Caenorhabditis elegans: one gene and its partners. The protein of the gene in region 1 purifies or fractionates together with the protein of each later gene. This does not show direct contact. Each region holds a gene or a part of one and is shown in the gene's direction. Other genes may lie near its edges.

Region 1 (3,449 bases):
AATTGTCCATCGTTTTGACTGTACAATCACAATTCACACATTCCATCGCTTGCTTCGAATTTTGAAACTGAAGGAATAATTGATTTCCTTTTTTTTCATTCAACTTTAGAATTTTAAAAATTAGGCTGCAATGCTAGAGCAACACGTTAACTAAATGCCTTAGTAAATTTTCAATTTATGAAAAAGAGTGAAGAAGAGTTAAGGAATTAAGCACATTTGTAAAAAATAATGAGAATGGTTGCAGTGGTGTTGCAAAATGTCCAAAAAAGTGATACACAACATGTACATAAAATTGGAGGGAAATTTCACAACTTTTGAATGGGGATGATGAACATCCCACAGTGAAAGCTACCAAAGAAATAAAACTGGGAGCGAATGGGTTGGGGAAATTGACTACAATTGTGATGAAAAAGACGAGAGAGATTAGTTGAATATGGAGGGGAGGGGATTCAAATAAATAATATCTACAGAATTTTCAAAAAAAAAAGGTTTGATTTAATATATTTTGCGGTGTGAATTGTAAATTTTCGAGTAGATTGAGTCGTGGATTGTGCCTAGTTTAGCGTTGAGCTTTCGAGTGATCGATGAGCCATTGGAGGGTGATATCTGGAAAACAATTCAGTTTAGAATGGTTCAAAGATTTAAAAAATTACCAATATTCTCCTTCTCTTTGCATGAAATAGAATAGCAGCAAATCTCGCGATTCTGGATTGATGACAGATTCATTCTTTCGATCAATTGCCGCTCATCAAGTGCTCCAGGCAAATCCTTCTTGTTTCCGAGCACCAAAACTGGAATAGCGTCGAGCTGTGGCTTGTCCAACAGCTGCATAAGCTCATTTCTGGATGCTTCGAGCTTCTCCTCGTCGGCAGCGTCCACCATGAAGACGATGGCGTTGACACCGCGGCAATATCGTTCCCACATCGAGCGGAACCGTGGCTGGCCCCCGATATCCCATAATTTGATCGTCACGTTGCCTTTGGTGATCTTCCGCATATTGAATCCGACTGTTGGGATCATATCTTCTGTGAATTGGCCGCTCTAAAGTGAAGAACATTGAATTTAAATTTATTTTCCAGAAAAACTAACAGCAATAACATTGACAAATGTCGTTTTTCCAGAGTTTTGGAGCCCAACAAGTGTCAACTCCATCTCCTCTTTCCAAAAAAGACTGCGAATCCAGTCGAGAACCTTATTCACCATAGCCAACATCTTGAATATTGATGTTGAATGAGGAAATTCCTGAAAAGTGCAATTCGATTGAAAAGGGTGTGTGTGTGAGAGAGCACAAAGAAAAACAGAAGGGTTTAACGGAAAACCGCTATTAATTTTGGAGCAAGCTCGCTTTTGCTGTTGAAAAAAAAACAAGTAGAAATATTGATTTTCCTTATCGCAAAATTTATTTTGCAGTAACTTTCACGAAATCAAAACCAATGAATCATCGAGAATAGTCAACAAAACACGTGATGTCTATAAAATTTTGAGAGAAACGTTTCAAAACAATAGAATTGCTAAAAGCAGATAGTTTCATTGGATAATATCGGATTGCAATAAGAGTTTTCAGTGAATATAGTCTTAATTTTTACAAATTTCTCAAGCGGACACAGTTTTTTGCTCAGTTTGCTCGATTTTCTAAAATCTGAATTTACGTTTGTCTAACCCATTCTCAATGAATGTATGGAATTTTTGAAAAAACTAATGAATAATCAGTCTATTTCCTTGAAAATTCTCAAAAAATCGATAGAAAATCCCGAAAATCCGTCGAAAATTACGAAATCCAAAGCCAAATCAGTGCGACAAGGAGCCAATCGAACGACCGCTGACATCAAAGGCGCACGCAGTTTCGAGGACGGGTTTCGCCGCGATCGAGTGTGTCGATTTACGCAGCACGCGGCACACCGGCGACCATCCTTCACCGTTTTTCAGCTTTTCAGCGTTGAATGCACGCTTCGGAAGCCGTTCAACAACAACTAAAGGACGACTGGGATAATCGCGAGTTTGAGCAGGTTAGTAGACGGAAAAAAATGATGGAAATCGATTGAAATGTGAATGAAAATTGATTAAAAATGGTTGTTGAAATTTTTGAATATTTTTAACTGCGGTGTTGAAATAGCTTTTCACTTCAGTAGGTTGTGATTTTATACAATTTTACAACAAATATTCATGTGTGAATTCATATCTCCCACACTAACCCGTACTAACTTTCAGATTATTGCCGATAACATCAAGAACATCGCTAACTTCTTGTCCAGCTTTGGTTTGTAGAAAAATTATTATTTTAAATTAATTCCTTTAAAAAATATCTGATTTCTTCCAGAGCTCTCTTGCCGCACAAAACTAGCGACTCTCAGCGACAAGCTTAACCTTTTGGAACGAAAGGTCGAATTTCTTGAAGCCCGTGTCACCAAAGGAGATACTCTTTCGTAATAATGTCTGCAACTGCCGGAAGAGTCGTCCGTGCCGGACAACACGCCGTTCGCACCGTCGCTCCAATCAAATCCAACAATTCCGCCGAGGCACGCATGTCGGTTCTCGCCGCTTATAAGGAGTTCCAACGTCTCACTCCAAAGTTCTGGTGGGATTTCGGACTTCATGATATGCCGCTCGGCGTGTTCCGTGCTGTCATCAAGAAGCAATTCACAAAGAACGGACATCTCACCGATGTTCGTGTCGTTGACAGACTTGTCGGAGAAACTCATCAGGTTTTTGAATAAAATTTAAATTTTCTAAACTCTAATTGTCACTTTCAGCACATGAAATCGATCCGTTACGCATTCTACAACCCGGATCACGTGCGCAACTACCTGTTCGCTGAAAATGTCGAAGCCAAGCCAAAGGACTTCCTCTCCAAATTCCTCAACGGAAAGGAATAGATTTTTTATTTTTCAGTGTTTTATGTGTAATTGTAAAGTAAATTCTCGTATTTTAAATCGAATCGGCTGATACTAGAAGGAATAAAATCTGATTTTTTGACTTAAAAATTGATTTGGCAGGTTCTACGACCTAATTTTATTTCTTTTTCGATTTTTTTTGTTTATTTTGATTGAATTTTATTTTTCCTGGTAGATGATCCCTTCACGAAGTGCCAGAATCATCGCAAAGCTACAACGACTACACTCGACTACTTCAGCCGCTTCAGTATCTTCTATTGATGTAAAAGAGGTAAAACATATAAAAATAAGCTATTTATCTGTAGAAAAATTATTTTAGGTCGAAAAATTCGGAGACTTGTCTGCAGAATGGGCTGATGAACTGGGTCCCTTCCACGCACTTCACTCATTAAACAGGATTCGAGTTCCTTGGATTGTCGATAATGTTAGAAAAAGCGATCAGAAGGCTCCTCCTCGATTAGTGGACGTTGGAAGCGGAGGGGGTCTTTTGTCGATTCCACTGGCCAGAAGTGGATTCGATGTTACAGGAATTGATGCGACGAAGCAAGCTGTAAGGGA
Region 2 (7,482 bases), about 10 Mb from region 1:
GTGACGCCGTCCAAATATTCTTCTCCTGCTCACGCATGTCAGAACCTTCCTGATTGGCTTCTGAAATGTAGCGAATATTAGTAAAACCGCTATACAAACTAGTAAATTGCTTACCTGTAATCTTCTCAAGCAAGACGTTTCGCATGTACATCCAATGAAGAAGTTCGAAATTCGGAAAGTAGAACTTCTCCTCGCTTCTAATTTCCTTACGAATCGCGTTTTCGAGATGGTACACGCGCATTTGCATCTCAAGATTTCCCAAATGCAAGAAGTTTCCTCCAAAAACGAGCGAATCGACTGGAGTGAGAACCGCGTGAATCCAACCAGCCGGGATGAGCAGTGTCTGACCTTCCTTGATCACAACTCGCTTAACAGCTCCGTTGGCAATGTCACCGAACCATGTAGTGGTGTCCGGAGATGTCTCGTGTGCTTGATAAGCTGCAAAGTTCTGCTCCGTTGGCGCGGCGATGTAGAAGATTTTCTCGCCCTGAAAATAGAGTTAATAAGCTTTGAGAAAACCAATTTCAGTTGAAAGAAGGGTATTTCGAACATTACGATCCTAAATGTGCTCAAATCAACGAATTTCGTGATGAGGCTTCTCAAAAATGCTTTTAAAATCTCGGAAAATAGGAGATTTTAGCCAAATTTAGTCTTTTTTTTTTAATTTTGAACCTCCAAAAAAACCAAAAAAATATTGAGAATTTTTTCAGAAGTTTCAAACGAAATTCGTTAATTTGAGAACATTTTGGCGGGGTCAGAACGTTCACAATCCGCGGAACCATTTATATTCCTTCAATAATTATACCTTCAAAATGTGATAGTAGACGCTACTACCACCAAAGTCCACGTGGAAATCCGTATAAGATCCAGCCATTCCTGCGAGACAAAACTGTTCCACTTTTGGTCGCTGATCTTCTGGAAGATATTCTTCTCTCTGGAGGAGTTTAATGTACTCCGCTCCACTGACATCAGGCCACAGGCGGTTGACCATTGAGATTTCCTGGACAAATCTTGGCGGCTTAGCGATTTCTTTCATCCTGGAAATGTTAATTAATTAATTTTTCAATTGTTTTCAGTTAATAAACTCACTCATTATTGTCCGAGAATTCAAGGGACAGAAAATTGTACAAGAGTGGTCTGTTTTTAGTGTCGCGAAAAAGTTTTCTGAACGTATCAAGCTTCATCGAATAGGTGCTCTGATTATAGACATCGATCGTGTCCACTTCATAATCCGATCCCATAATTTTCACAACATCCTCCAAATCGAATCCAGGCTTCGGCATTGTCATATTGAGGCCGTCCATGTCTTTGACCATAAAAACTTTTCCCCAGTTGTCAGCTCCTCCGAGTTTTTCGAATTCTCTGCGGAATTCGTAGCCATCTTCGACAATGCAAACCTCATCGTCGGTTCTAAAGAATACAAATTTAATTTTAAATAATCTTTAAGGGAGGTCTGGGTTTTTTGCTTGTTTAGACTCAAAATGTGCCGGAATGAACGAAAAACATTATTATAGGTGATAAATTCAAGTTTTTTCGTTGATTTATGTACATTTGAAGCCAATAGGTAATCAAAAAAGGCCAATTTTAGTAAACTGACAGCTCAGAATGTACCAAATAAACGAAAAATGTGAGAAAACGGCAAAAATGGGAGTTTTCAGCTGAGATTAACTCTTTTTCTTGAAATTTTTGTGAAGTCTTCGTTCATTTTGGCGTATTTCGAGTCTTCACAAATAACAACCAAGTCATCTTTTAATGAAAATTCCCTTACGGTGAGGGAACAGTATTTTCTCTGGTGATGAAATCCTCAATCCAAGTTTTTGAGCCAACTTCAATTCCGAGATGCTTCTCGTTCGGACTGTACCAGCGATAACGATGTGGGGCGACGACTTTGTATCCTAAAATAATAAATAAATATATTTAATTGCAAGCTATTCGATGAAAAAACTTACGAATGCTATGTCCGGTATGTGGAACGCATTTGGGGCAGAAAAATTTCTCATACAGGTAATACTCAAATTGCTCGAGGCCTGAGCACAGAAAATGGTACCAGGTTTGGCAAGAGTCACAGCCAATCCATTGGAAGTCATTTTTCTTGTGATGGTGAGATTTCTTCTTGCTCATCAGTGGCTTTTCCTTTTCCTTCTTCTTTTCCTCTTCAAGAGCAATTAGATCATCTTCATGAGTAAATTTTCCGCATCCTCCACATCGATCCGATTCCTTTGGAGTTTTCTGCTCTGGGACATCATCTTCTTCACTGTCCGAGTCCACCTCAAGCTTCAATTCTTCTTGAACTTCTTTCTTTTTTGTTTTCATTTCGTCGAAATTCGAAATTGAAACGAAACGGAATGGAGGCTGGAATAAAATTTGATGATATTTATCAATTAATTTTTTTTCTTCATTTAAAAGTTCAGTATGATATTGCCACGGGAAATTTGAATTTTTTCAAAAATTTATAAATTTATAAATAAATTTTTTTTGAATGAAAATAATCTTCCACATTTCAGAATAAACCATACCTCAGATCCGTTGCTGACGTAGTTCTGATTTGACTCCATCTTCGGCGCTTCCGCTTCCATCTTGTTGCTCATTGCAGCCTGATTATCCGATGAATCTGTCACATGTGGCTCGATTTTAGGCTCGCTCTTCGGATTGTGCTGCTTTCTCCTCGGATCTTTTGGAGCGCCCATCTTGTTGTAAGCTCTCGCCTGGAAAATTACGTTGAGAAATGGAGGAAGTTCAGTGAAATCGGAGGTTACACTCACTTTCATGAGCACTGATTCTATCGCAAAATCAACCGAATTCTGAGATGAGACTTTTTTTAAAATTTTAAATGAATAAAACACTTACTCTATCCATTTCGGAAACCGATTCATGGGAATTGCCATTCAAATGATTTTGAGGAGCTGCGACGCTTGCTTCCTGTAATCAATATCATTGAATAATCGCAGAAAAATAAAAAATCGTACAGAAACTAATGGCGTTTGATGCTCAGTAGAGGAAAGAGCCGGTTGAGAGGCTGTGTATGACATTCCTGGCTCGCCGATTGCCGATTCGTGATTCTTATGGTCGGAATGCTGATCCATCATTAGAAGTGCTGATTGGTCTCGAGAAAACTCGTTTTTTTGTATATTTATATCATTACCATCCATTTGGAATGTGTAGATTCTGGAAAACAACGATTTTTAACGGAAAACTCGAAAACTTCAACGAATAGTCGATTGAAAGGGAAACAACGGACAAAATAACATGAAAATAGCTTCGAAATGTTTAAATTTATTTCTGTTACAACATTTTTCAATAAAAAACTCCAGAAAAATGATGGAAAACTGAAATATATGCTGAAAAAACTGTAAGCCTCGAGGAGATGTGAAGAAGAAGAGAAACGAGACGCAGCATGCGAAACAAGAGACACTGCGAAACGGGGGAACGTGAGTCGCGATGAAATTTACGAGTTTGTGGGATTAAATACTAATTAGTAGATAAACTTTAAGATGAAAATATCAATATTGATTAGTTGAATTGATTGCAATTCTGAATACAAAAAATTTTTAACGAGAAAATCAATTTCTGCCTGTCCACTTCCGGGTTTTGGTGTCTCGCATTCACCGTTCACTCGCTTCGCAGTGTCTCCGTCTTTCTCACCTTCCGTATTCTCACACTTGGCACGTAGCCAAGCGGCTGGTCTCGCAACGATTGTTTTTGTTTTCCGTCAGCCGTCTCTGCGCCTTTAACCTCTCACAGCCTGCCGATTATTTTTTAAGCAGATTTTTACTATTTTTCAGCTTTCAAGCTTCATCCATTAGCAAAATCAAATAATTTTTTGATTCATTGTGTAGAATTAACGATTTTCGTATAGTTTCTGTTTTTATAACCGCCTGAATCGTATTCTCTGTTTCGTTTTCTATGGATTATCATGCTTGCTCAATTACTCTGTAAATTTAAACGATTTATTGCAGGATGCTGAACCGTGCTGTGCTCTCCTTGGCTAGAAGCCAACATGTCATCCGTCGCTCGCTTCACAAGGGAGTTGACTCGACCCCACCACTCCGTTTCACCTCTGTCAGCGAGAAGGTAATTTTTTATTTGCTAAATGTCTTGAACTTATCCTTGTGAGCAGTAAAACTTAAAATACCACTAGCTCACCAAAAAAAACTAAATTTCAGTTTGTACATTCGTTTGAATGGATTTGAAAAATTAATTTCTGAACTAAAAGATACAGTTTTGAAATTTGTCTCACTTTTAATTTAGCTGCTCAAAAACATATTTATCCAGATATCCATATTATTCACTATAACACCAATTTTTTCAGGTTGCCCTTTACGGACTCATCTGCGTCGCTTTCATGGCATACCCAACTTCCGTCCTCTTCAGACTTGATAGTCTTCGCCCAAGACCGGATAATGCTCTCTCCCCAGAAGTCCAAGAAGAGATTGACGCCCGTGTTGCCGCCCGCAGACAGTAGAAGTAATATTATGCCACGAGCCATTGTGTAGACTTTTGAGAACAACAATAAATCGATTCTTGTTTTCTCTTCGCTTTTTCTCAATTTTATTCGCTGTCAAATGTGGTTTATCCATCCATGAAAGATAAATGTTCGATTCGGTTTTTCATTTAGAATTTTTTTGATAATTGTTTTAAAGATGGTACGTCAATTCACCTGGAGAGGAACGATTTCTCAGCCGTTCGCGATTAAACTTTTCAAAGGAATTTGGAATTCACATCCAAGATTCGCAACTCGAACAGTAATGGTGCAGAACAATGATGTCGATGGAGCTTTCGGACTTCTTAACAGGTTTTCTTTGGAAAAATTCCCAGAACATAATTTCAAGATTGAAATAATTTCAGATTGATGGATTCAGAAGGAATGCTGAAAATCATTCGCCGCACTCAATTCTATCAGAAGCCCTACATGCAACGAAAAACACTGTCGATGGAAGCATCAACGGCGATTTTCAACGAGGACATGAACCGGAAAATGAAATTTCTCGTTCGAAAAAATCGTCCCGACAAGCATCCCGGACAAGTGACGTCCTAATTTCGATCTCAGAAAATAGTTGTTTTGAGTTTTTTGTTTTGTTTTGTTTTACAGCAATAAAAGTGTAAATTAATTGAGAATTTAGAAACAAGGATATTGGTTTTAATGTAAAAAGTTGAGGATCGTCGGTATGGATTTTAAGGATTGCACACGTAGAATGAGGAGAAACAGGCGCCGCAGCGCCCGCGGGGCGCTTGTCGCGGCGAGACCCGTGCCGGAGGAAAATGCCTGCGCCTTTAGTTTGCTACTGTCTCTCTCACTCCGCTGTCACGGGAAAACATCCCATTCTCGGGTCGCTGCGCTCCCCCGAGAAAAGGTTTTCCCTTGTTCCTAGCTCCGTTCGAGAGAAATGAGGTTTAAGGATTAAGGTATGGATTGCAAGGGAAGCCAAACATGGAAAAACCTGATCAATGAATTTTTGCGGTTTTTAGTCAAAAATACAGTGACAAGTTTCGACAATAATTTATAAATAAGAAAACGCATAGAAAATAACTAAAGTTGAAACTACTGTACTTCTTAAAGGCGCATTTTTATTCGTTTCGAGACCTGATACCACATTAAAGGCACACGCTGCGGGTCTCGCCACGATCTCAGTTAATGTGGCTGTTACACGTGATTAATTTGAGGCCCCACGAAAAGGGGAGCAGAACGAAAAGGGGATCTGCAAAAATGGGATCTGCGAAAAGGGATATACGAAAAGGGGAGCTGGCACTGTGCCAAACGCACAAAACGCTTTTTTATTCTCATCCAACGCACGACTTTGTTATAACCACACTCCGTTATTACGCATCGCGCGTTGTTTAGCGAAAAATACAAAAAAAAAGTCGTGCGCTGAATGAGAATAAAAAAGCGGTTTGTGCGTTTGGCACAGTGCCAGCTCCCCTTTTCGTATCTCCTCTTTTCGCAGATCCCCTTTTTGCATATCCCCATTAATTTCAAGTAATTGTGTAGAAAACTAGCCGAATTTCCAACAACCTAACAAAATTCGAAAAAGGGATACAGAAAAATGCGACTTTTGAATTTGAGGTGCAAACGTGCTCCAACGCCATAATGAAAATGCTCCGCCTCCAGACTTTGGGTCTCGTTAGGTTTTGGCTTGTATATAATCAATTTGGACATTAAAAAATAATAACTTGAAACGTTTGTTTTTTTTATTTTGCCGCCAACACCTAACGAGACCCAACGTTTAGGGGCGGAGCGTTTTCACCTGGAGCGCGCTTGCACCTCGACCTCAATAATGCGCATTTTTCTGCGCTTCCATAATAAATTGGATTAATCCCTTCTCGTGTTCCCCTTTGATATACGAATCCAATATATCCTTTTTCGTTTCATTGCGCAACTGTTCTTCCTCCATCTCGCTGTCATCCAAAACCGCCATCGAACATGCCAAACTGCTTCCACACCTCGTTATCCATACATGCAACCACACAAACCGGTTTTAGATTTAGCTTCTTGTACTTTCCCCCATCTTCGTTCTATAAAGACATCGTCCACCGTCACTTTGCCATTTCTTTCCATTTTCGTCGTCTAGAACTATGACTGTAGACAACGCGGCGATTGCCACCTGGACAAGTGTCCTGGTGAGCGTTGCGTGCATCTCGTTTTGTGCATTTTTTGCCGCTTCGGTGTGTGAGGATATCAATCAATTTTTGGATGATTCCTTGTTGAGCTTCAAAGAGGGACAGGGACGAACTGATGATGCTTGGAATGAGGTGGTGTTCTTGAATGACAAGAAATTCAAGTCAGAGCTCCTCGTCAGCAACTCGGCCACCGTTCGTCAGAAGCGTTCCGATCTTCCGGCTCATTGTAGTAAGTTTTACAGAGGATTTTTAGACTGTAGTATAATATACAAATGACCGTGGAGAACGTGGATAACAGTACTTTTTGTACTTTTTTAGACTGAAAATTTAAATCGCACATTCAACTTGAGTATAAATTTATATATATCGTATTATTAGGTGAAAATTAAATAATTTACTGCTAAAAAAACTGAAACTTCTATTAACCTGACGCGAAATTAACCGATTTTGTCGTAATAATACGGTACCTGGTCTCAACACGACAACATTTCGTTAAATGCAAAAAGGTGCGCGCCTTTAAAGAGTACTGTAGTTTCAAACTTTCGTTTATTCAGATTTTTTTCATTTTTTCCAAATTGGTTTAAAAACTGCATTTTTAAAAAAGTTTTCATATAAATACATTTATTTTTATCAAAAAACTATGAAAAATCGAAGTAAATTCCACATCAGCGAAAGTTAAAAATTACAGTAATCTTTAAAGGCGCACACGTTTTCAAATTTAACAAAAATCATCCGTGTCGAGACCTGGACAGTTTAAATAGCCTATTTAATCTTTTTCAAAAACGAAACATGTTACAAAAATGAGATTAATTGAAAAAAAAGTAAAATCTTCTCCTCGAGGAGTACACAGTCTGCGTAAATCGACAC
Region 3 (8,176 bases), on another chromosome or scaffold:
ACTGTTTAAAGTATCGATTTTCTTCAATATCAGCAACATACAATCCTTTAAAATTATTATTTTTTGTAAATTCGATAAAAATTCATTTATTTTTCACAATTTCTGCCCGAAAATTGCCGAAATAACCAGCGTTTCTATAACTAAGAAAGTGTCGTCAATTAAAATGCCGCGTCCGCAAAATGTCGTATGAAACTTTTCGCTGAGTATCAAACGTTGAATATTCAGTCAGCTAAATTTTACTACGGTAGAGATTTTACAGCCACGTACGGTTCGCCGGGCCGTGGTGGCCAGTGCGATTTATATTTTTTGATAATATTGCGCAACATATTTGACGCGCAAAATATTTCTTAGCGAAAACTATAGTAATTCTTTAAATGACTACTGTAGTGCTGGTGACAATTTACGGAAATAATGGATTAATCGATAATACGAAAAAAAAAACTAAAGAAAATTGAATATCGATGTCACAATTTTCATTCCAAAATAGAGCCCGTAAATCGACACAATCACTACTGTTCTCATTGAAAGAGTTACTGTGGGTTTCGCTACGAGATATTCATCGCGCCAAATATGTTGCACAATCCGCAATCTCAGAATTAAGTGTTCCGGTTACGATAGCTGAAGTTGCCAGAGCTCGAAGACGTTAATCTGGTGACCTTACCAAGTCAACACATTAAAATAGTGGTTTTTTTGAATTTTCAGAAAAAAAAAGTAGCCAAAACATTCTGGAAAAAGAGAAGCAAAACTACTTCGAAGAGAAAAATAAAAAAAAGCTAGGATTCCATAAAGAGTTGTAAAAACCTGGATGATCCTGAAACCTGAAAAAAATCCTAAAACTTATTGAAATGACTTCCAATTCCATGGTTTTCGTTGGTTTATGTACATATACCATTCATCTTAACATTGCTTCAATGCAGTTGCAGTTTCCAAAAATGAATGATTCAAATGTTTAAATAGGAAACAATATATTTTAAAAGTTTACAGCTTTATTTAAAAATCATTAACCAAAAAATATTATGAATAAGTACTGTCTTTAGCCAGTGACTCGTGCCAGGAAATTGAACCCGTAAGACCCTCATCGTCAACTGTTGATCTCCTTCACCAAACGTAGAGGCGACAGCACCTATCTTGCCAGAATGATCGCTCCATATGATGACCATAGGCGCAATCATTCTCTCAAGATAATATAGAAGGAGGGTAAATGCATTAAAAATTTTAAAAACATTGATTGAAAATAGTATTCCAAAACGGCAGCAATAATAGAAACTTTAGAAACTGAATCAATTCCAGTGTATAGAAAAACTTACAATTTAAACATTTTATAAATTGAAATTTTTTTTTGGAATATTGTTGCCAAAAAATGTGCCAAGATAACCAAATATCATAGTAGAACGTTTCAAAAAATTTGAAACTAATTTTGTAACCCTTTTTGGAATTCGCCGATTGTTTCAAATAAAAATTGTAAGGATTCGAGCATGCGAAATTACTACAGTTTTCTAAAAATGTGGCTAAAACTCAATAACCTGCCATTTTTATTGCCAATAAAAAATTTTCAAAACATGTTACTATGATATTTGGACATCTTGGTGGCATATATGTGGTTTTTAACAGTTTCCCCACTGCTACTCCACCTTTAAGTCCTGGGAACATTTCCGGCAAATCGGCAAATTGCCGGAACTGAAATTTCTGGCAAATCGGCAACTTACCGGAATTGAAAATTTCCGGCAAATCGGCAAACCCGCAAATTTGCCGATTTGCCGGAATTGAAATTTCCGGCAAATCGGCAAACCTGCAAATTGCCGATTTGCCGGAAAAACGGCACTTTGCCGAAATTTAAATTTCCGGCAAATCGGCAAACCTGCAAATAGCCGATATGCCGGAAAAACGGCACTTTGCCGGAACTGAATTTTCTGGCAAATCGGCAAATTGCCGAAATTGAAATTTCCGGCAAATCGAAAAACCTGCAAATTGCTGATTTGCCGGAAAAACGGCACTTTGCCGAAATTTAAATTTCCGGCAAATTGGCAAACCTGCAAATAGCCGATTTGTCGTAAAAACGGCACTTTGCCGGAACTGAAATTTCCGGCAAATCGGCAAACCTGCAAATTGCCGTTTTGCCGGAAAAACGGCACTTTGCCGAAATGTAAATTTCCGGCAAATCGGCAATCCTGCAAATTGCCGGAAAAACGGCACTTTGCCGAAATTTAAATTTCCGGCAAATCGGCAAACCTGCAAATTGCCGGAAAAACGGGACTTTGCCGGAATTGAAATTTCTGGCAAATCGGCAAACCTGCAAATTGCCGGAAAAAAGGCACTTTGCCGGAATTTAAATTTCCGGCAAATCGGCAAACCTGCGAATTGCCTGAATTGAAATCTCCGGCAAATTGGCAAATTGCCGAGTTGCCGGAATTAAAATTGCCGGTGAATTGCCGCGTGGAAAAAGTAGCTGAAAAATGTTTAAAATGGCAGGACCTGATAATATCGCATGTGAATTTTTTTATTCAGAGATCGTGTGTCAAAAAAAACTAACATCAACCTAACCAACACGAGATCGGCTACTAATCAGTAAGTGATAACTTTTGAAACTTATTTTAATTGAAAAAAAAAACCATTTTCAAGTTTTCATATTCTAATGCTTATAGAAGAGACAAGTATCAAGAATCGAGGAAGCGATCTGCTAATTATGTATCAATTCAAAGCTCACCGGATCTCCCCATCAAGAAAAATCTACTAACGTCAATCGCGCAACAAGAAATAAGAAGCCATCGAAGACATTGGGACAGTACATGGACGGCGAAGAGTTACGAGAGGATTTAAAAGAAAAAGGGAAAACTATGGATAACGATCTGAAAAAAAGTTTGAAGGAAGCACCTAGTGAGAGTTACTGTTACGTTCTAATAAACCCATACGTTCTGGACAAAGACGTGAGGGAAGTAGATCTGGCTACGTTCCTCTCGTCAATATTCTACGTGGGCAAAGGAAAAGGGGAAAGAGCAATGGCCTACTTCAAGGATGCTTGCGGGAACATTCAAGGAAGCCGCAAGCTTACTACAATTGACCAGGCTTGGAACAAAAAAGGATTTGTTTATAAACACATAATTTGTACGTTTAGATAAGAAAAATCTATAAATTGAATTGCTTTTTAGGGAGACCAATTATCGAAAATCTAGCACTCGCCAGGGAAGCTGCTATGATATTTTTTTTCAAAAATTTGGCTGGAAAATCGAACTTTACTAACAAATACGTAAGTTAAATTAATTGGCTAAAAAAGATTCTAATATAGTAAAATTTTCAGAACGGCAGTTTCAAAGGAGAGTCGGCGTTTTGGAGCAGGGAAGAGAAATGCAACTACGGCGTATACCTGCTAGAAACGTAAGTTTGAAAACAAAATATCAATAATTTAACGTCTAAATTTTAGAATACACCGTTCAATCCAAACCAATGGCTGTGAGACTGTCAAAAAAGAAGATGTTGCTCCAAGAGCCGCGATCCAACAAAGTCCTCGACTCTAAACTTTTAATTTAATTGTTATTTTTAAATTCCCTCATTCACATTACCCAACTTCACTATGCTACTGACTATTTAAAATTGCTCAAAATTCAAATATTCCACTTGAATAAACCTTATTATGAGAAATTAATATTTGACCTTTTTTATTTGAAAATAAACTGTTCCCGCCGTTTTCTTTATTTTTTTGCATTGTCGTCATATCGCGCGCAAAGTCCGCAGTGACACCCGCGTGGTGTTTGCGTACCCCGCAATTGTCATCCTCACAATTTTCGAACGCGACTCCCGATTTCTTCGTTTTTTGCTGTAAATTTCGGATATTTCCGGTCAAAAATTTATTAAAATATCTGGATAATGGTAATTATCAATGTCGTATTGTGTTTTTATCGATTTTCTCAGTTGTTTCCACGAAATTTCTGTTAATTTTCACCGAAATCTGTTTCAGAGAGGAATGGAGCGATTCCTGCGACTCGGAGGTCTTGGTGGAAACCTTGGAACGGTAATTGCATTCTGTTTCGATAGAAAATCATCTAAAATTTCGAATATTTCCAGTTCGGAGCCAATCCACAGGACTCGAATCAAGTCGACACCTCGGAAACCGTCTACATTTCTTCGCTGGCGTTGCTGAAGATGCTCAAACACGGAAGAGCCGGAGTTCCCATGGAAGTGATGGGGCTGATGCTTGGAGAATTCGTCGACGACTACACCGTCAATGTGATCGACGTTTTCGCTATGCCACAGTCTGGAACCGTGAGTTTTCGTCAAAAATTGAATTTTTAAAAAAGATAATTTATTATTTTCATTACAGGGAGTCTCAGTCGAAGCGGTCGATCCAGTATTCCAGGCGAAGATGCTCGACATGCTCAAACAGACCGGAAGACCCGAGATGGTCGTCGGATGGTACCATTCCCATCCAGGATTCGGATGTTGGCTCTCCGGCGTCGACATCAACACTCAGCAGTCGTTTGAAGCGCTTTCCGACAGAGCTGTCGCCGTTGTCGTCGACCCGATTCAATCTGTGAAGGGAAAGGTTGTGATCGACGCGTTCCGTACGATCAACCCACAATCGATGGCTTTAAATCAAGAACCACGTCAAACTACCAGTAATTTGGGTCATTTGCAGAAGCCGAGCATTCAGGTTGGGGAAATTATCGGTTTTTAGTGAACATTTCAATAATTTTCGGTTTTTTTTTCAGGCCCTAATCCACGGACTCAATCGTCACTACTACTCCATCCCAATCGCCTACAGAACCCACGACCTTGAACAGAAGATGCTCTTGAATCTTAACAAGCTCTCATGGATGGACGCAGTCAGCGTCGAAAACTACTCAAAATGCGGTGAACAGAACAAGGAGCACCTCAAGGCGATGCTCAAGCTCGCCAAGAACTACAAGAAGGCGTTGGAGGACGAGAAGAACATGACGGATCAGGAGCTCGCGATCAAGAACGTCGGAAAGATGGATCCGAAGCGGCATATTGCTGATGAAGTGAGCAAGATGCTCAACGACAATATTGTGCAAAGTTTGGCCGGTATGATGGCGACGACTTCATTGCAATAATTTTTAAATCAATACTCATTTGCTTATTTTTTTATTATTTTCTCAAAAATTCCCAATTTCCTCGTTCTCTCCCCGTCTTTTTGTGTATTTTTCCCCATAATTTATTTTGAAATCATCCCAGTTCGGTGTTGGAAAACATGAATCTTCCCCGCCTTTAATCGATTTATTGTTTATGCGTTAATTTAGTCCATTTCGCTAACAACTGAGGCAGCAGCATCACATTCAGATTGTTCATATCGACCGATGGTGTGTAGTCGTTGATGAGGAGATATGGAACTTCGAGGATCGGATTCGGTCGGGTGCTCATCGTCTTTTGAGCAGCTTCGCGCTGGAGTTGAACGCCACGTGGACCATCGTAGCATTGTCTGAAATTGTGAAAGATACGGTCTCGACACGACAATCTTTTTTTTTAATTCAAAAAAGTTTCGCCTTTAAAGATTACTGTAGTTTCACTTTTAGGAATTTTCTATAAATTTTTCATTTGATTTTCACCAAAACATAATAAAAAAATATTAAAAATCGATAGAAATTCCAAAAAGTGAAATTACAGTAGTCTTTAAAAGCGCACAGCTTTCCGCGTTTAACACAATTTTGTCGTGTCGAGACCGGGTACCCCGTTTTTTAGCTCAAGATCGGGAAAACTTTGAACATTTTATTCGAAAATTTGCAGAAAACTAGTTTAATTATTATTATCATTATTAGTTTTAGGAAATTATTATTAGAAAACTAGTTTAAAAAACAGTAAACGCGCTCCACGGCCAATCGAAAGCGCTCCGCCTCCGAACCATGGGTCTCGTTAGGAATTCAGCGGCAATACCGAAAAAAATGGAGCGCGTTTACATTTTTTAAATTCATTTTTCAAATGAATTTCCGAGTTTATTTACCAAAATACTGGAAGATAATTAGTTTTTTTCGAAAAAATGCAGAAAAATCGTATTTAAAAGGATAATAAAAGCGTGTGGCAAAATTGCAAAAAGAAAATCGGCAAAGTGCCGGTTTGCCGATTTGCCGGAAATTTTCGATTCCGGAAATTTGCCGGAAATTTTCAATTCCGGTAAGTTGGCGGTTTGCCGATTTGCCGGAAATTTTCAATTCCGGTAAGTTGCCAATTTGCCGGAAAATTAAATTCCGGCAATTTGCCGGTTTGCAGATTTGCCGGAAATTTGCAATTCCGACATTTTGCCGGAAATTGCAATTCCGACAATTTGCCGGAAATTTTCAATGCCGGCAATATGCCCGTTTGCCGAATGCCGGAAGTTTTCGATTCCGGTAATTTGTCAATTTGCCGGATAATTTAAACTCCGGAATTTTGCCGATTTTCCGGCCCCCGATTTGCCGGAAATTTTCAATGCCGGCAAGTTGCCGGTTTACCGATTTGCCGTAAAAGTAGTTTTCGGAATAAATACCTAATCTGTCGATATTGGCTCCGAATGAACGCGGAGCACGTCTGCATCGCGTGTTCGACTCCATAGTGTTGAATGTTACGTTCGAAACAGACGATGAAGGGCAACGCTCCTTTGACCTGAAATCAATCACTTTTGATAAATAGAGAGAGAGATTGATCGGCGCTCATCTGTGTCTGTGTTTTGAGCCCCCCATCAATTGCTAACCTTCAAAATATCAATGACACAAGATTGAAGGCGATTCGCGTCGCACTCTTTTTGTCCGTGATTGCACGAGAATGAGCCGTCCTGTGCAAATTTGACGATTTTCAGAATTTTCAGAACAAAAAGAAATTACCCGCATTATCCTAGAGTTTCCCCATGGCACTAGCTCAAGAATCAACTGGCCCTGGAACTGATTGAACACACTGCCCAACTGATTTGCGATGAATCTGAACTTTATAAATTCCAGTCAAATCGATTTTCCTATGGCCTACTTTTGACAATATGGGCACAAGGCCTCATAGATCAAGGTGATCTTGATCGGCTGCCGCCGGTGACGGAGACCATCGCATTGCCGTTGGACCCCACACTGTTGGGCAGACTGCGGGCTGTCACACCTGGAAAGATTTTTTTCTGGATTTTGCTAATTTGGGGTCTTGGCACGATCGAAATTTTTTTGAGCAGAGCACAGCATGAGCCTAAGTCTAAGCCTAAGCTGAGCTTAAGCCAAAGCCTAAGCCTCAGCTTAAGCCTATGCCTCAACCTAAGCTTTACTCTAAGCCTAAGCTTAAGCCCCAGTCTAAGCCCCAGCCTAAGCCTATGCCTAAGCCTAAGCCTAAGCCTATTTCATTTTGTTAAAAGCATTTTCCCCCGCATTTTCCTCTGAAAAAACAACAAAAAGCACTTACCACAAGTCTGGTGGAATGTCACAAATCTGATGCGTCGGCTGATTGAACACAGAAGCGTGTGGAACCGACGGATACGCCGCCTGATAGGCTTTTATCGCATCTGGAAATAGCTTTGCTGGAATATTTATATTTTTTGACCTTGTGTCGATTTACGCAGATTGTGCACTCCTGGAGGAGATGGAGATCAAAAGATTTTGGCTTTTTCGGTCAAATACTTTGTTTGATTTTCCACGGGGAGTACACTAGATTCGTAAATCCACACACATACAGTCGCTGATATCTTCCATATTCAAAAATATTTTTTGGAAGTATGACGTCAACGGAATTGCACATGTGACGTCATCATTCCGATGAAGAGACTACCGTAGTGCGTATTCTTACTTGGACTAGGATAATTATTGTAGGGGTACTGTTGTTGCTGCTGCTGCTGAGACGCCTGTTTTTGTTGGTGAGCATGTTGCTGCTGTTGCTGCTGCTGATGGTAGTGTTGCTGGTGAGCATTGTAATTATGATTCTGGTAGTTTTGCGGGTACGATGGCTGATGCTGGCGGTATTGGGATTCTGTATTCTGAAAATGGGGAAAAAAGTTGCGCGTCAAATATGGTGTATTGTGGTGGGTTGCCCTCGCTGACCACCCGGAAGCAAAACACGTGTGTCTGGAAGGCCGGTGCCATCGTCCTAAAGTCCCATTACAACGCGAAACACTTTTCATTCTTATTAGTTCCTGTCCACCGCCTTACTCTCAATTTCTCTCAAAAGTTTAGTGCAGTTAAATAAATGAGCTTCTTGCCACCTCTGACCAGCCAGCTGAGAGCAG

Evidence for each region. Proteins that work in one complex are often made in the same cells at the same time.
Region 2: the proteins of Y57G11C.1147 (region 1) and F29B9.11 fractionate together in Caenorhabditis elegans (co-fractionation; one large-scale study listed by BioGRID). This does not show direct contact.
Region 3: the proteins of Y57G11C.1147 (region 1) and rpn-11 fractionate together in Caenorhabditis elegans (co-fractionation; one large-scale study listed by BioGRID). This does not show direct contact.

The regions. Positions count from the first base shown.
Region 1 is NC_003282.8:14,795,942-14,799,390, reverse strand, and holds Y57G11C.1147 (Protein BRICK1), read left to right. Parts: upstream 1-1,876; 5' UTR 1,877-1,940; coding exon 1,941-2,006; intron 2,007-2,208; coding exon 2,209-2,257; intron 2,258-2,317; coding exon 2,318-2,427; 3' UTR 2,428-2,429; coding exon of another isoform or gene 2,430-2,702; intron 2,703-2,750; coding exon of another isoform or gene 2,751-2,873; 3' UTR 2,874-2,949; downstream 2,950-3,449. Other genes in the region: Y57G11C.14 (uncharacterized protein), read right to left, coding at 1-46; arl-8 (ADP-ribosylation factor-like protein 8B), read right to left, coding at 560-606, 654-1,041, 1,090-1,212; nuo-3 (NADH dehydrogenase [ubiquinone] 1 alpha subcomplex subunit 6), read left to right, coding at 2,430-2,702, 2,751-2,873; coq-3 (Ubiquinone biosynthesis O-methyltransferase, mitochondrial), read left to right, coding at 3,067-3,162, 3,211-3,441.
Region 2 is NC_003282.8:4,656,676-4,664,157, reverse strand, and holds F29B9.11 (Cytochrome c oxidase polypeptide VIIc), read left to right. Parts: upstream 1-3,956; 5' UTR 3,957-3,957; coding exon 3,958-4,071; intron 4,072-4,309; coding exon 4,310-4,462; 3' UTR 4,463-4,527; downstream 4,528-7,482. Other genes in the region: jmjd-1.2 (JmjC domain-containing protein), read right to left, coding at 1-60, 115-487, 806-1,037, 1,090-1,410, 1,769-1,895, 1,950-2,352, 2,517-2,801, 2,848-2,919 and 1 more; mrps-21 (Mitochondrial Ribosomal Protein, Small), read left to right, coding at 4,641-4,792, 4,846-5,035; col-111 (Nematode cuticle collagen N-terminal domain-containing protein), read left to right, coding at 6,571-6,844.
Region 3 is NC_003280.10:4,040,107-4,048,282, reverse strand, and holds rpn-11 (26S proteasome non-ATPase regulatory subunit 14), read left to right. Parts: upstream 1-3,952; 5' UTR 3,953-3,958; coding exon 3,959-4,006; intron 4,007-4,059; coding exon 4,060-4,257; intron 4,258-4,315; coding exon 4,316-4,645; intron 4,646-4,703; coding exon 4,704-5,066; 3' UTR 5,067-5,221; downstream 5,222-8,176. Other genes in the region: K07D4.2 (GIY-YIG domain-containing protein), read left to right, coding at 2,787-3,102, 3,147-3,244, 3,296-3,372, 3,419-3,512; pqn-48 (Prion-like-(Q/N-rich)-domain-bearing protein), read right to left, coding at 5,230-5,431, 6,473-6,588, 6,677-6,757, 6,807-6,900, 6,946-7,068, 7,360-7,459, 7,741-7,927. UniProt on the Caenorhabditis elegans protein: Metalloprotease component of the 26S proteasome that specifically cleaves 'Lys-63'-linked polyubiquitin chains. The 26S proteasome is involved in the ATP-dependent degradation of ubiquitinated proteins.